4 linked regions of the Drosophila melanogaster genome follow. The protein of the gene in region 1 purifies or fractionates together with the protein of each later gene. This does not show direct contact. Each region holds a gene or a part of one and is shown in the gene's direction. Other genes may lie near its edges. The genes, in order: ATPsynO, ATPsynE, ATPsyndelta and ATPsynF.

The links.
Region 2: the proteins of ATPsynO (region 1) and ATPsynE purify together in Drosophila melanogaster (affinity purification with mass spectrometry; 2 studies listed by BioGRID, with this or other methods). This does not show direct contact.
Region 3: the proteins of ATPsynO (region 1) and ATPsyndelta purify together in Drosophila melanogaster (affinity purification with mass spectrometry; 2 studies listed by BioGRID, with this or other methods). This does not show direct contact.
Region 4: the proteins of ATPsynO (region 1) and ATPsynF purify together in Drosophila melanogaster (affinity purification with mass spectrometry; 2 studies listed by BioGRID, with this or other methods). This does not show direct contact.

The regions. Positions count from the first base shown.
Region 1 is NT_033777.3:15,264,074-15,267,239, forward strand, and holds ATPsynO (ATP synthase, oligomycin sensitivity conferring protein), read left to right. Parts: upstream 1-1,517; 5' UTR 1,518-1,587; coding exon 1,588-1,617; intron 1,618-1,853; coding exon 1,854-2,297; intron 2,298-2,359; coding exon 2,360-2,515; 3' UTR 2,516-2,617; downstream 2,618-3,166. Other genes in the region: Set, read left to right, coding at 280-469, 532-882, 946-956; CG14864 (uncharacterized protein), read right to left, coding at 2,656-3,166. UniProt on the Drosophila melanogaster protein: Mitochondrial membrane ATP synthase (F(1)F(0) ATP synthase or Complex V) produces ATP from ADP in the presence of a proton gradient across the membrane which is generated by electron transport complexes of the respiratory chain.
Region 2 is NT_033777.3:14,325,233-14,328,235, forward strand, and holds ATPsynE (ATP synthase, subunit E), read left to right. Parts: upstream 1-1,714; 5' UTR 1,715-1,895; exon of another isoform or gene 1,896-1,951; intron 1,952-2,020; 5' UTR 2,021-2,058; coding exon 2,059-2,304; 3' UTR 2,305-2,503; downstream 2,504-3,003. Other genes in the region: Afti (aftiphilin), read right to left, coding at 1-846, 905-1,049; spn-B (spindle B), read left to right, coding at 2,979-3,003.
Region 3 is NC_004354.4:10,211,080-10,217,944, forward strand, and holds ATPsyndelta (ATP synthase, delta subunit), read left to right. Parts: upstream 1-1,890; 5' UTR 1,891-1,995; intron 1,996-2,201; 5' UTR 2,202-2,207; coding exon 2,208-2,406; intron 2,407-2,480; coding exon 2,481-2,692; intron 2,693-3,019; coding exon 3,020-3,082; 3' UTR 3,083-3,917; coding exon of another isoform or gene 3,918-5,042; 3' UTR 5,043-5,469; coding exon of another isoform or gene 5,470-5,475; 3' UTR 5,476-6,314; downstream 6,315-6,865. Other genes in the region: CG2962 (uncharacterized protein), read right to left, coding at 3,918-5,042, 5,470-5,475.
Region 4 is NT_033778.4:24,598,552-24,601,390, reverse strand, and holds ATPsynF (ATP synthase, subunit F), read left to right. Parts: upstream 1-1,569; 5' UTR 1,570-1,624; exon of another isoform or gene 1,625-1,691; 5' UTR 1,692-1,695; coding exon 1,696-1,774; intron 1,775-1,893; coding exon 1,894-2,138; 3' UTR 2,139-2,299; downstream 2,300-2,839. Other genes in the region: CG3548 (uncharacterized protein), read right to left, coding at 1-282, 411-930, 1,006-1,343; CG13587 (uncharacterized protein), read right to left, coding at 2,300-2,492, 2,558-2,839. UniProt on the Drosophila melanogaster protein: Mitochondrial membrane ATP synthase (F(1)F(0) ATP synthase or Complex V) produces ATP from ADP in the presence of a proton gradient across the membrane which is generated by electron transport complexes of the respiratory chain.

The DNA.
Region 1 (3,166 bases):
CTCTATTCGAGGCATTTTTTCTTGTTCATCTTTGGGCTGCAATGCCGACACCACCGGCTCCCCGCGCATTTTCCCCCTCCCGGAAAAATCGTGCTATCGATATATCCGTCTGGCCGGGAAATACACAACATAGCACAGTTCAAAATGGCTTCAAATCAAAAACCACTGAAATATTTGCTGCCATAATTGAAAAGAAAAGTAGTGCCATAGGGGCCATAAACATGGCTTTCTGCTTGATAGCATGCATCCCCTAGCTAATCCCAACTGCCATATTTGCAGTTTATCAACCACCCGCAAGTATCCGGCATTCTGGACGAGGAGGAGGAGGAGTGCCTGCACGCGCTCAACAAACTTGAGGTTGAGGAGTTTGAGGACATCAAATCGGGTTACCGCATCAACTTCCATTTCGACGAGAATCCTTACTTCGAAAACAAGGTGCTCACCAAAGAGTTCCACCTGAATTCAGCGGGTAAGTTCTCCCAACGATTGATTCAAATCCGCTTAGCTAACCCATTACTATTTCAATTAAAGCTGCTTCCGAGAACGGAGACTGGCCCGCGTCTACCAGCACGCCCATCAAATGGAAGGAGGGAAAGAACCTGCTAAAACTTTTGCTGACAAAGCCGTACGGAAACAAGAAGAAGCGCAACTCCGAATACAAAACCTTCTTCGATTGGTTCTCGGATAACACCGATCCCGTCAACGACGAGATCGCAGAACTGATAAAAGACGACCTTTGGCCAAATCCACTGCAGTATTATCTGGTACCTGATATCGAGGTGGAGCCCGAGGACGAGGAGGACAACGAAGATAATGATGAGGAGGCATTTGACGACGAGGACGGTGAGGATGGAGAAGGCGAGGAAGAGGAAGAGGATGAGGGTAAGCTAATGGAGTGCCTTTTGAACAGAAGGAATTTACTAACCACCTAACCAACCATTTTAGATGACAAGTAAACTGATTAATGCAATTTCAAATCGCTCGCAACCGAAGGCCCACATTGTTTATAACCACTGGCAACTATAGTTTTCCCGATGGTTATGCAACATTTACATATTCGCAACGATTTAAGGACATATTTAGGTTTCGAAATAAGCAAAAGTCATACATCCATTAAAGAGCAGCAGAAAATGAGAATCACCATTAAATTAATTTAAAACAAATAAAAAGACGTAAATCGAATCTCAAGCCGTGTCTTTTTATGTAAGTAAAGAATTACCAAAGTATTCAATTCGATGTTTATAAAATAATTTATTACTTTATTAATTAATATTTATTAATTAATTAATTATTTAATAGCAAATTAGAGGTGTTACTATTAAGGTAGATTTTGGGTACCCAGAAATACCTATCTTTTAATATATCCTTTAAGAATTACTTTAAAGTCAGAATATCATTTTTAAAATGAAAATTCGCTTTTATTTAACTAGCTAGTATAAATCTTAAAATCTAGCTATTTTTTGTAATCGATAACTGTCCTGCAACCCTTACGCCATTCAAAACAACCCTGCCACACGTCGAGTAGCAAGTAACGTAGCCCTGGTCACAGCTGAGATTTTTAGCTGAAAAATTGTCGGGATAAAAACGATGGCCTCTATTAACAAATTGGCACTTTTGGTATGTTATAATGCGAATAAATAGAAAAAAGTGAACAAGCTCCGGTCAATGCCAAGCCATTTTAAGTGCATGTCAAATTTTTATTGCGTTTGCAACCCGCTGTCGCATATGTAGAATTATCTAACGCGCGTTTCTTGGTTATGTAATTTTTGCCCATCTTAACCCACGAACCGCGGGTAGTTTATGTTTAATAAGCCGAAAAACTTACCAAGTGCTCTTGTTTGCTTATCCCGCAGAGCCGCACCCTCAGCTCCGCTGCCGCCCAGGCGACGGTGAAGCCACCAGTGCAGGTGTTCGGTCTGGAGGGTCGCTATGCTACCGCCCTGTATTCGGCTGCCTCCAAGTTGAGCCAGTTGGATCAGGTGGAGAAGGATCTGACGGCCCTGCAGGCCACCATCCGTAGCGACAAGAAGCTGCGCGAGTACGTGACCAGCCCCATCATCAACAAGAAGGTCATGGCCACCGCTCTGAAGGAGGCATCCGAGAAGCTCCGCTTCGCCCCGGCCACCGTCAATCTGTTGGGTCTGCTGGCTGACAACGGACGTCTAAAGAAGCTGGACACCGTGATCAATGCCTACAAGACCATCATGGCCGCACATCGCGGTGAGGTCGTCTGCGAGGTGGTCACCGCCAAGCCCTTGGATGCGTCCCAGAGCAAGCAGCTGGAGGGTGCCCTTAAGGTAGCTACGCCTAGCTTCTGTCTTGTCTCACCCACTCAATTTATTGCTCATTTGCTTTGCAGTCTTTCCTGAAGGGCAACGAGTCTCTGAAGATCACTTCCCGCGTGGACCCCAGCATCATTGGTGGCCTGATCGTTTCCATTGGCGACAAGTACGTCGACATGAGCATTGCCACTAAGGTCAAGCTCTACACCGATGTCATCCAGACCGCTGCCTAGACTCTTAAGGATTTGCTCTTGATTTAGATGGTCAAACTGAAAGTTTGGTATTGGAATTCAAGCGGTAATAGCGAATAAAACACTCTTCACCCTTTGAAAACCAACAAAATTTATTCAGAGATATGCGCACTAGATTTGGTTTATGATTTAGATATATTTTTAGGATCCGGTATATCTGTGCACTGCAGCTCCGCAACCTTGTGCTGGATTGTCTGCTGCAGAAGGCTGTGCTGCTCCAGCAGATTCTCCAGCTCCTTGATGCGAGATCTCTGCAGTTCCAGAACCTTGGTGAAGTTACTCGTGGCCGGGGACTCAAGCCAGTTGATTAGAAAACTATTATGTTGCTCTTTATTATCGTTGGCGTTTTGTTGAGCATCAAAATTACTCTTCGTCTTGCTATCTAGTGTACTCGCATCCTGCCCTGGGTTGGGGCTGCAATCATTCAAAGGACTCTCCTCCAGGACCAGAACATTGGTCTCGTTCGAGGATCGACAAACTCTGTAATTGGGCTTGTCGATTTCCGGGAACACAGCTCGCTCATCATTTTCGGTCAGATCGGACTCTTGAACGCAAATCTCTGGAGGCGGCGCCATGGGACGTTGCTTCGCCGGAGAGCAGCACCCATCTTCATAGTCATTATTCCGGGTGCCG
Region 2 (3,003 bases), 940 kb from region 1:
AGGCAGACGTTGAATTCTCCGTGATTTCTAGTTGGGGTTCTGCTGCTGAGAAATCCGCAAAGTCACCGAAGTCATCATCATCTTCTTGCTCTTGCATTTCGGGAACAATTTCTTTGTGTACTAAGTCTTTTGGCGTCGCATCAAGATTTGTAAATGAATATGTATCACTATTTGCTGGTTCACCCCATTGGTGAGGGGATTCCTCCTGATTTGGAGGATTTGATAAGCCACGGCTTTGATTTTCCATAGGCTTTTCTAAGGTATTTGAACTTTCCTCCTGGGCTTCCAAACTTCTAAAGCTTTCTTCTGGCTGGGAGGTATTCTCTACGTATTCTCCTTTCCCTGTATCCACATTCTCCTCCGAAAAGCCTTCTCCATATGGTAGGGTTGGAGTGGCCAATACCTCTATGGCAAAGAAATCCACAGCTCCCTCGCGTATAAATAGTTCTTTGGGCTTCTTTGGCGAGCACTCCTCGTCGCTGTCATCGGACACATCCTCCAGCGTGACTTGGTGGCTGAGGATATGGGCTTTGGTTGTTTGCATAGCCGGCGGAGCAACTGCACTAGTCTCCGCAACCGGTGAGAGTGTGGAGGCGGCAGAAACGCTTTCCGTGGAATAGAGACTTAGACTGTCCAACTTAAGGGAGGGCACATGCTCCTCCAGTTCCTCATCATCCAGTTCCAAGCTCAACGGAGGCGGCGTCGGCGGTGCTGTTTCCTCGAAAACATCGTAATCCATCTTCTGTTTCACCTGGTAATTAAATGCCTCGACGGTTTGTTTGTCTTCCAGCAAATCAGGTGGCTTTTCTCGAAATTCCTCCACGGGATCTGGTGGTGGAGGGGGTTCTAAAAAGCGAGAATTAACTGAGTATCACTTTGAGATTCGATAAATATCTAAGCTTGCCTTTCGAGCTGCTGACTAAGCCAAAATCTGAGTATTCGTCACCCTCGTCCAAATGGATGGTGGATTGTAAACCGGAATCGTCGTCTTCCTCACCAAAATCGATGGGCGGGGGGGTGCTGCAGAGCAGCGGTGGTACATTCACCATAATGCCAGCTGCAAAATTCAGTAAAAGGATCCCCTAAAATTCACTTCCTGCTTCAAGAAGAACAACAAAAACGCTGGGAACGGTTCGATCTTCTATCTCTCTCGCTCCACTTTATCACTGTGTGTGTGGTGTGTATGTGTGACGCAGGTGTGGAGGGCCTGCAAGTGTGTGTGTGTGTGTTAGCCACTCAAGGTCTGTGTTGGAATTTTCTTGTTTGCATTTAACACGCGTCAATTTTGTTGTGTCTCTGTATTATGTCTAATTGTCGCCTTATTGGTGGCTCTAAAAACAGATTTGCCGAATTTGCAAGTCGCGTTTTATCTGCAATTAGCCATGTTTTCCAGAAAACAATACTTTTTCCTCTGCCCACAGTGTGAACGTTTAACTTTTGGCCAACCGACAGTGCTGAAAAACGTTGCGCAACATTGATAACATACAAAATTTGAATCTTATCTTTTTCAATTCCCATTTTCGATTTAAATCATTATCCATAGTTCAGATAGAATAGTTATATTAGTTATATTTCTATAATAGATTTTTATTCTTTCCAATTCTTTTACCGTTAAAATTGTATTTGAAAATTATTAGTAACAAGAGTAAAATATACATGAAAGTCTAGGCTGCAGTATGTAATACGTCAAATTTTGTTGGGACACTAAACAACAAATAGTCGTCATAAAGGCTTCTTTTAAATTGTTATGATATTTTCCACAATTTCTGCATACTTTTTTAAGCTTGCTGGCAACGCCGCCACCGTACCAATACAACTATCGATAGCCGCCTGTCAGTTTTGACAGCTGTTTTAAGGTTATACTGCGCTGCCGTTGCAATCGCTCCACCAATTTGGTAATTTTGCTTATTTAACATCAAATATTGCATAAAACTAGGAAAACCAGGAATCTGTAAAGTGGAGCGAGACGGGGAACGCTATTAAGGAAGTCGGATAACTAAAGTACATCCTTTTCTTGCAGTTCACGGTCGGACAATTACATAACTTGAAGAAGAAACCATGTCGCAGGCTCCCGTTCGCGTTTCCCCGCTGATCAAGTTCGGCAGATGGTCCCTGCTCCTGGTGGGCATTGCCTACGGCGCCGCCCACCAGAGCCGCCTGTCCAAGAAGGAGGAGAAGTTGCGCGAGATCGAGGCACAGCAGAAGGCCGTCCGTGATGCCAAGCTCGCCGAGGAGAAGAAGCGCAGCGCAGAGGCTGAGGCCCGTGCCTTGGCTGAGCTTTCGAAGCCCACTCCCAAGCACTAGGATCCTTCAGGATGCAACATCCGCAGTTCCCTTAGCTTAAAAACATTGAAAAACCACAACATTTACACACGAAGTTCGCCCAAAAGGAGGAGCATCATCGATAGTGGAGCCACCATCTATCGATCACTGACTATCGTTTTTGTGTTTTCCTCTGATGCTTGTGCAAAAAACAGAATGTTCGAAATTAAATGATTGAAACAAAACCATTATGTAAATACTCTCAAGTGTTTCGTGTTTGTGATTAAGTGGTGTTCACTGGAAATATATTTATATTAGCATAGTGTTTGGATAGGAGAGGATTGAGAGAATTTGAGAGGGTTTGAGCTCCAAATTTGACTAGGAAGTACATATAAATATTTTTGCAAATTGATTATCAATAATTTTCCTAAATTTTGTTTTAAATCTTTTTTGATAAACAACAACTGATAGTTTACCTTATTGGATGCCCACTGTAGTTGCCAGCTGATTGGCCCACTTAAGATATTGGCGCCAACAGCTGATTTCAACCGGCGTTTATTTACACTTTCAATTCGCTCGCAAGTCGTCGCATGGCTCGGCTGTTTGATCAATAATCCCCCGGAATACTTCCAATTCCGGAGGTGTTGAGACACCTTTCGTGTTTCGGGGAGCCATTATATCACGCAATCCCATCGAGGACATGCCATCGCATCGCGATGACAAACTTTCTGGATCAATTGC
Region 3 (6,865 bases), on another chromosome or scaffold:
TGCGTTGTTTCTCACCGCTTGCTATGTATTTGTTTTTATTTGACCAGAAGGTAGGGTATTGTTTGGGGCATTGGTTCCAAAAAACAAAACGAACTAATTAGAAAACAAATTTTAAAACGCAAGTAGAATGTCATTTACTTCACTAAGCTGAACATTACTTTTGAGAATTATTATGGGTTTTTAATTATTTGTTTTATTCTTAATTAGTTGAGATTGACAACTAATCATAAAGATCGGATGACAAGAAAACCTACATATAATTTTGCCTGAATCAGATAGTACGAAGGGTATACACTTTTCGAAGTATCTAAAAGTACCGTAACAAAAAACAAAAGGAGCAGAAGATGAAAGCGAAGAAGCAAAAAGAGGAGCAACGACCCAACATTGTTGTTGTCTTATGCCGCTGCTTCTTTGCGATGTTGCCGTTCCGCTCGCACCGCTATAGCTTGGGGTCAATAGCTAAGGATCGGATCTGTTGTATATATGTTTATATAGACCGATTGCGGTTAGTTCTCTTATCAGAAATAACATGAAATATATTGCGTTGCGACGCCACTGGCGACCGCGACGCAGGCAGAGGGCAAGACAGCGGAGAAGAGAGTGAGTGAGAGTGTGACGGCGGAGAGAGAGGTAAACAAAAATACACAAACACATACACATGCGCGCTACAGCTGCTCGTTCACATGTGTATGCGGGCCTGTATGTGTGCAACAAACAAAAAGCAGAAAATCCTTCTCTTCTTCACACCCTTTTTCCACAACAAAGTCAGCTGTGTGTGTGAGGAATGAACTTTAAGGCAAGCTTTCTGTTTCTATTTTTTGCAGAGTTTTTCCAACTGAAAGGCGCAATTTGCTAAGACACCTATACACATACACGAAGAGCCAAGCAAAATAGAAGATATAACAAAACAAAATAGAAAATAAGCAGAGCGAAAAATATATAGACAGCTATCTATGCACACAAACACAAACATGGGGAAACACTGTTGTTTTTCGCAACTGCGTTTCGCCTGCAGGTGCGACAGAGAGGGCGCGAGTGGGTGACAAACTTGGGTAAATGTTGCAAGCACTTACGTCCTGTGTGTTTTGTTTGTTTGTTTGTTTGCTTGTCGCCTTTCGCTGTCGTTCGCCAACAAACACCTCAGCGCAGAGCACACACGCGACACGCACACACTCACACACAGTCACAGAGACGTGCACAAATAGCAGCCGAAAATGGCACTCTCTTCTTCTTCACTTGTATAATAATGCAGCAATCTGCATTGTTTCGTTTCTATTTCCAATTGGAATTTGTTGTTGTGCTGCCTGTGCCAGTGTGACCAGGTAGCGCGGTGGCTAAAAATAGTCGCTAACGCCAGTTTTGAATGTTGCGCGGGTAAAAGATTCGTGAGATACGAAAAAACTCCGAACTTTAATAAAAGGATCTAATAAAAAAGGAAATACTGAAAAAGAAACTAAACAAAATCAAAAACACCAGATTCATAACAGTATAAATGGTCGCATGGTTATGCCATGTAAACACACCGTTATTAATCAAAGTCTTAATCTAATAAAGGAAATTTCATTTTTTAAATTATAATTTTTGGAATAAATAGTTTTTCTTTTAATATCATTTTTAATGTACGATCAAAAGCAATATACAAAAAATTTAAGCTTTTAATTGGCGATGCCAGACTAATGAATTAAAAGAATAAGTGTTGCCACTAAAAGTTTATTGGTCTATATAATTTGTTTATTGATTGAGGCACTTTATTATTATAATTAAAACACTTAATTATTATGTGTGAAATGATTGCACTTTTTATTTTGTAAGAGCCTGTTGCGTATTGAAAATTTTGTATTTTGTCTTGTCCTCTAAATATCGTAAAAACGCGTTATTGCTAGATAAGTTTTGTATTCCCGGCTGGTCACTCTGACTTAAACGTTTTTCGCAAAAACAGCGGCTGATCACTGAAGTTTTCTCGTGTTTTTCGCTATCAAACCGAAATAAAAACAGGTGAAAATAACTGATAAATTGAGGGGTAGTCCACTGATCACAGTGCCCGAGGATTTGCAATGAAAAGCGATCGAAATTTGAGCTGGGGAAACGCAATAGCAGCCGCCGCCTAACCTACAAAGTTACATAATTTGGTTATTTTGTTGTTATGCTGGCTGGCTGTGGCAGAAAAGACTTTTAATCCTGAATTTATCCTCTCGTTGCAGCCCAAAATGTCCTTCGTTAAGAACGCCCGTTTGCTGGCCGCCCGCGGCGCTCGCTTGGCCCAGAACCGCAGCTACTCGGATGAGATGAAGCTGACCTTCGCCGCCGCCAACAAAACCTTCTACGATGCCGCTGTGGTGCGCCAAATCGATGTGCCTTCCTTCTCGGGATCCTTCGGCATCCTGGCCAAGCACGTGCCCACTCTGGGTAAGTTCGATCATTCAGTTTCAGTTGCCTCGAGATGGTTATATCACCGTTGGCGAATCTCTTTGCTATTGCAGCTGTCCTGAAGCCCGGCGTTGTCCAGGTGGTGGAAAACGATGGCAAGACCCTCAAGTTCTTCGTCTCCAGCGGTTCCGTCACCGTCAACGAGGATTCCTCCGTTCAGGTTCTGGCCGAGGAGGCCCACAACATCGAGGACATCGATGCCAATGAGGCGCGCCAGCTGCTCGCGAAATACCAGTCACAGCTTAGCTCCGCTGGCGACGACAAGGTGCGAATCTAGTCAAGAAGTTGCATAGTAGAGTAGTGTCTAGAAAGTAGAAGTAGTGGTCCAGAAAGTACAACTCAAACAGACTCTTTTGATGGAAACACTGCTTCCACCATTCACGCCAACTGGCATTTAAGTTACTAAACGATTTCTATGTGCCCATCCTTTTTACTTGATATACTTTCTTTGTACAAACAAGTTTGCTCTTAAATTAACGCTTACACATTCGATATTTCCATGAGTAAACTTATGTTTGAGTTGCTTTTGCATTCTGTATTGCACATTCTGAAGCTATCTAAACGAGACTTAACCACGATCCTTGTTTTGCAGGCCAAGGCCCAGGCTGCCATTGCCGTGGAGGTCGCCGAAGCGTTAGTCAAGGCTGCCGAATAGACGTAATCACCACACAACCGCCACCAATAAACCACAATCGATGCTTTGTGTCTGAAATAAATAAAAAACATAACGATCACCTTAAAAAGCCAGAGAGTTATGAAACAATAAAAAAGCGAATCATAATATCGTATTAATGACCCGTGATCCACCAGGCAAATGATTTTTTTTTCTTTTTTTTTTCATGTTATGCCGCTAAACTGTGTGTTTATATAGTTTATAATATATGTATGTGAGCTGGTGAAGAGAAATGTGTAATATTTGCTCGCTGTGGGATAGACCGTTGATATGATAATGCTTTGGCAATCTTTAAGTCAAAAATATGAGTGATTTGCATTTTGGCCGAAAGAGACGAACGTCGTTTCTTTTTCCCTTGCCAATTTATGCAAATCGCATAAGCATAAAAACTTACAATTTGTAAATGAGCTCGTCTTTCATCTTAACAAATAGTATAGTTTGTATTTCATCTGGTGTGTTGCATTCATGGATAGTTCGCATATCTTATCTCGGATGATTGTTTAAATTTCTCTCAAAAGTAGTAATAAAAAGCAACTTTGTTTTTTTTTTATGGAAACAAGAATTAATCAATGGCTAAAATTATACTTTTGGCAGATAGAAGATAATCCATTTTGAAACTCTTTATAAAGATGATAAATACTATAGAATTGAAAAAAGAAAATTGGATTTTTTTTTTTTGGAATTGTCTATGTATTTGGTAACAAAAAAATGTGTTGTAAAAAAAATGTCTTAAATTAACTCATGGCGTTGTGTGGGAATGGTAATATGCTGTCGATGTAGTTAGCAGGAAGGTCCTCCGATAGATTGGCGAATTGTTCTAGTATCCCGGTGGGCCGTAGGTCTGGGCAGGGGCGTGACCGATGGGCAGGGACTGCTCCTCGGGAGCAAAAACGGGTGCAGGAGCGGGATGTGGCACACTCAGGACGGGAGCGGGTGCTGGGGCGGCATAGACTGGAGCTGGGGCAGGAGCGGAGTAAACTGGAGCGGGAGCAGGAGCGGAGTAAGCTGGAGCGGGAGCAGGTGCGGAGTACACTGGAGCGGGAGCAGGAGCAGAGTACACAGGAGCTGGGGCAGGAGCGGAGTACACTGGAGCGGGAGCAGGTGCGGAGTACACAGGAGCGGGAGCAGGAGCAGCATAAACTGGAGCCGGAGCTGGAGCAGCATAAACTGGAGCCGGAGCAGCGATCTCCTGAGGAGGCAGGTAGGAAGCGACTGGAGCAGCCACTGGTGCGGGCACATCGATGGGGGCATAGGCTGGACCGGCAGCTGGAGCGGAGTGCTCATGGATCACACGCACCACCTTGGTGGCTCCACCCGAAGAGTAACCACCGGAGGAGTAGCCACCCGACGAGTAGCCACCCGACGAGATGCCGCTGTCGTGGCTCTCGTGAACGACCTTGATGACCTGGGACACGGCACCGCCGCCAACCGAAGAGCCGCCGATGAAGGATGGTCCAGCCACGGGTCCAGATGCCACATTCACCACCTTGACAATCTGCGGAGCGCTCTCGACCAGCGGGGCACTCACAATGGGTGCGGATTCCTGCAGGATCTTGATCACCTTGACGGAGGAGGGGGCGGGCCCAGCTGGAGGCAGATAAGCGGGTCCAGGAGCGGGTCCATAGCCACCGCCGCTGCCGCCAGAGATGACCTTCACCTTGAAGATCTGGGGAGCCGCCTCGTAGCCATAGCCGCTGCCATAGCTAGCGCCGGAGGAGTAGCCAACGCCGCCCTGCTGATGGATCACCTTGACCACCTGGACTGGGCCACTGGGTCCATGGCCGCCATAGCCGCGAGCGCCACTACCACCGCCGCCGCCTCCGTTGCCACCACCGCCTCCGAGGTTAAGGCCGCCACCACCGCCTCCACCGCCGCCACCGCCGAGGAGTCCCAGGAAGCCAGCGTTGGCCACAGCGAACAGAGCACACATGCAAACGAAGACCTGGAAGGATGGCAGAGTATAAGAAGCGATTTAGTTTCATGTTTCATGTTGCATCCTTAGAGGATTTTAAAGAATATATAAAGTTCATTAAGTTTTTGTTATGTTTTCCAATTAGAAAGTAGAGTTTTATCGCTGGTTTTTTTTTCTATATCTTTAAAGGATCTTTGATCTTCATAGACTGTATTTTCCAAATGGATATACTTTGTATTCATTCTTTGTTTAAATATTTTCATTTTCAATCTTCTGATATTCTTCAGCACACTTTGTATTTGAATATTAACTATCACTTCTTCGAAAGTTCGAAAGAATTTAAACTGAGCTCAGGATGCTCTTGCCACTTTGTCACTTTTCAAATCAGTTTGGATAAATAAAAAAAAAAAAACTAGAAGAGGATATTTGCCGGCACAGGACATTGTGAGCAGCTCACCTTCATGCTGACTACTAATCCACTTGATGCGATGATACCAATTCCAAAAAAAAAAAAACGCCTTGAGTGCCGATGAGCAAGCGACTGATGTCCGATCGATTGGAGACCAAGTCTTTTATACGATATAAGCCAGCAAGGGCGAACAAAAGGCGTTTCATTAACATTTCCAAACTGCCCATCAACGCCATCATCATCATCGCCACGATGATGAGCAGCATCATGATGATGGGCTTTCGTTTTCATTTCGATTTTCACCAAATGCTGCTGGACGCACCCAAAAGTGCCAATCGTCGTGGTTGGTTCTTCCATAGCCAGTTGGATTCGGAGCTACCAGCTACCAGCTACCAGCTACCAGCTACCAGCTACCAGCTACCAGTTTCAGTTTCATCAAGTCTTACGCTGCATTTCCCAAATTCCGAATGGGGATCCCACAATTAGCATGAAAATGAGACGCTACGTTAGTGATAAGCTCGGAATGGGGCTTTCATATTTCGTATTTTTTTTTTTATTCGGCATCTTATGTTTTATGGTTTAGGTTTTCGTTTTCATTTTGATTTTGATTTCGATTTGGATTTTGGATTTTGGTCAATTCAATTTGCATACACGGGCGTGCTGCAAAGCGGTTGCCTCACAAGGCGGCCGGCAGTCTGTCATAAACCAAAGCGAAAACCTAACCCAACCCAACCCAATCCAATCCAATCGAAACCAAACCAACCCATTCCATTTCACCTCATCCGGCAATTTCAAGGTGAATCTGAATCGGAATCTGTTGTCAAGCCGAACCATCTCATTGATGGTGGCTATATTCCATCTATATGCAGGTATTTATAAAACGAGCCGATTATTATGCAAGCCACCAGTCGCATCTTCGAGCCATGTAAAACGCATTATGTTGGCCCAATAGGCCAAAGATGTTGTAAAATTGGCCAACGGTTCGGATCAGTGATATCTGTTGGCGCATTTTAAATAGCCACTAAGTATTACATACTTACAACAATAAACATATGTTTATTTACACAAATATTCAACATAATCAACTGATGTGCATATATATATATATCCATTTAGAATCATATTTCTACTCAGTTTATAACAATTTTATAAAATACTATCAAATTGTTCAAATTGGTTATGCTTTTCGGTTAAGAAACGTATTAATTTATACCAAAAAAAAAAGAGATTTTCAGTGGGCAGATCAGATTGGTGGGAAATCAAGTAATATCCAAGAAATGGTTGGCTAACCTGCACTCTGCCACTAATCGTGATTATGATCTTGTCGCGGTCTATTATGGTTTGTTAATTGATCCATGCATGGAATGCATCTGTTGAGAAACTACATACATACATACATAAATATCTATATTAGTGCATCTGCAATCTCGAAACAAGTTTGGCT
Region 4 (2,839 bases), on another chromosome or scaffold:
CAGCTTGAGGTCCTGCTCCTGCCGGTAGTAGGCCATCTTCACCTCCTGCTCCATCTGCTCGAAGCGCAGCTTCTGCTCGTGTTCCCGCCGGGCGTAGTCGATTTCGGCCAGACGGGCCTGCTTGAGCAGCCTAAACAGGTCCTGCTTGTACTTCTGCTCTATCTCCGTGGCGGCGACCAAATCTAAGGACTGGCTATTTGTGTCTGCAACTGGGGTGGCGCTCGGAGCTGCGTTGGTGGAGGCTTCGTTCTCGTCGGACAGCAGCGACTGGGCCTGTGAGAGCTGGTTAACGATGAGATAGTATTATTAGTAAGAAAGATTAAGATTCCCCTTCACAAAAATTTGCAACTTGTTCAGCTAAACCTTAATTAATAATAATAAATAAACTTGCGGCTTGTGTTCAAACTCACATTCCTTTGTCGCCGCTTTCGTGGTGGGCCTACGCCCTTTTCGTTCTCCTCCCCCGTTTCGCCGGACGTTTCTGTCTTGGCGCCCGAGGGCGACTGCTTGGCCTTGGTCCGCTTGCGTCGCTGGGCTGGCAGCTGGGCGGGATTTCCCTCCTGCTGGGAGTCCCCGTCTCCGCCAGCAGTGGAGGGCGGCGGCGAGGGGATGGCTATTGTGGAGGTCTGCAGCGTGTCCTCGCTGGCGTTCGTAGAGTTGGGCAGAGCGGCCAGCGGCATGTCTTCGTCCTCGTCGATGTCCATGAGCTCCTTCTTAAGAGCGCCGTTTGTGTTCGCGCTGCGTGTCTGACTGCGCGAGGTGACCGGATCCTTCTGCATCTCCTCCAGGAACTCGATCATCCGCATGCCTTCCAGGGCCTCCGTTTTCGGATGCTTCTGCTGGTGCTCCCGCTTGGCGGAGTTCTTCATGCTGCGCCACTGCACCTGGATCTGCTCCAGCAGGCGATGGCGGAAGTTAAGGGCATTGAACCTGGATGGGGGGTTGGAATGGAAGGAGTGAAGGGCCATTATAAGACGAGCTCCACTGCCCAATGGCGCAACTTACTGCTTGGTGATCTGCGACCAGGCCAGACGCTTGGCCTTTATGCTCTTGGCGTCCACGCTCCGGTTCTCCACGAAGGCCACCTTGGACTTGATGACCTCAAGGAGCAGCCCCCTTTCCGCCTCCTCCCAGTTAAGGGAGCGTTTCTTGCGCGTGCCCTTCTTCTTGCCACCCGCGCCTTCCTTCTCGCCAGCATCCTCGGCCGCATCCTCCGCGTTCTCCGCCCCCTCGTCCGCGGTGGCGCTGCTTGACTTCTGCGGCTTCAGCTCCACCTTCTCGTCCTCGTCGTCGTCCTCCGGCGGAGAGGAGGCTCCCTTGGTCAGCAACTCCTCCAGTTTCATTGTTTTTGTTTACACACTGGATTCGCTTTGGCTGGATTCTGATTCGAATGCCCAGGCTTGCAAAAATCCTATTTGATTTCTGTATATACTGGAGCTTAGTGATGTGAGAAGTGCATCGTGCATCGGGCATCGATATATTCGCTGTATCGATGACGTAGCGAATACATCCTCCCTGTTAGCGGAGACGCACACAATAAATTCGCACATAGTATATTTCGGTATATTGGTCGATGAAAATCCCAGCTCTCGCCGCTTTGGTCATACTGTCAGTATCGAAGGAAGTAAGTAGCAGGCGTAATTTTATGTTTCATAAGAATCCGATTTAAGAATATATCTCAACCAAACCAGCGCGATGGCATTCGGTGACTATCCAGCTGAGTACAACCCCAAGGTGCACGGGCCCTACGACCCCGCTCGCTTCTACGGCAAAGGTGAGCAGGTTACGTAATTTTTGCGGCAGGCACAGAGCACATTTGCACTGCCCAAAAATGTGCAGCGTTTTACATAATTTAAACAACTTTCCGACCTCTCCGCTCTCTCCGATCCGCAGCCGATGTGCCCTTCGGCCAGGTCAAGCTGGGCGAGATCGGCGCCTGGCTGGGACGCCGCAACAAGACCCCCAACGCTGTGGCCGGAGCTGTGAGCCGTGCCTGGTGGCGCTGGCAGCACAAGTACGTGTTCCCAAAGCGCGCCGGGATCGCTCCCTTCTTCCAGCTGACCGTCGCCAGCATGACGTTCTTCTATCTGATTAACTACACCAAGTTGAAGCACCACAGGAACTACAAGTACCACTAAGCGGCGCTGCCCGGTGGTCCTGCATCTGCAACAGATTCTACACTTTCCACAAGGCGTGCGAGAGGCGGGCAATCACCACTAAACTATATCTATTTGGCTTTTGTGTTTTGAAAACTGCTTAAGTGAATAAAACGGCTGCGAATATCCATGCTGCCATAGACTCAGACTCGGTCTCTTCCGCACTCGAAGACTGCATTTGGGCCGATGTCCAGCTCGGAACTGGACTGCTCCCAGCCGAAAGTTGACCGGGCCGTGTGGATTTCGCAGATAAAGGGCAGCTCCCGGTCGCAGTTCAGGGTTTGCCAGGTTCCCTGCGGCGTCAAGGCCACGCAGCTGGCGTTGCCCAGATCACCACTGCAAATTCGGTTAGATTTAGAGAAGATAGCATTGGCGGCTAACCTAATAAACTGTCAGCCTACCCAACTCGAGGATGACCACCATCCCAGGCTCTGTAAAGAAAGCACTGCAAGCTCTCCCCTTGGGAGTTCCTGAAGTCCAGTGGGCTCAATGACGTTGAGCTGTTGTAGGCCAAACCCACATAGGCCAGATAGACATTACCTTCTGCCAGAGACTGTGATTTCCTGTTGAATTCCACTAGCCATTGGGCCAATAAACTGGTTCTGTGTTCGGATGCGATGTGGGCCAGACTACCAGTGAACTCCGAGGAGTTTGAACAGGTCAGTGAGGCATTCAAGTAGGCA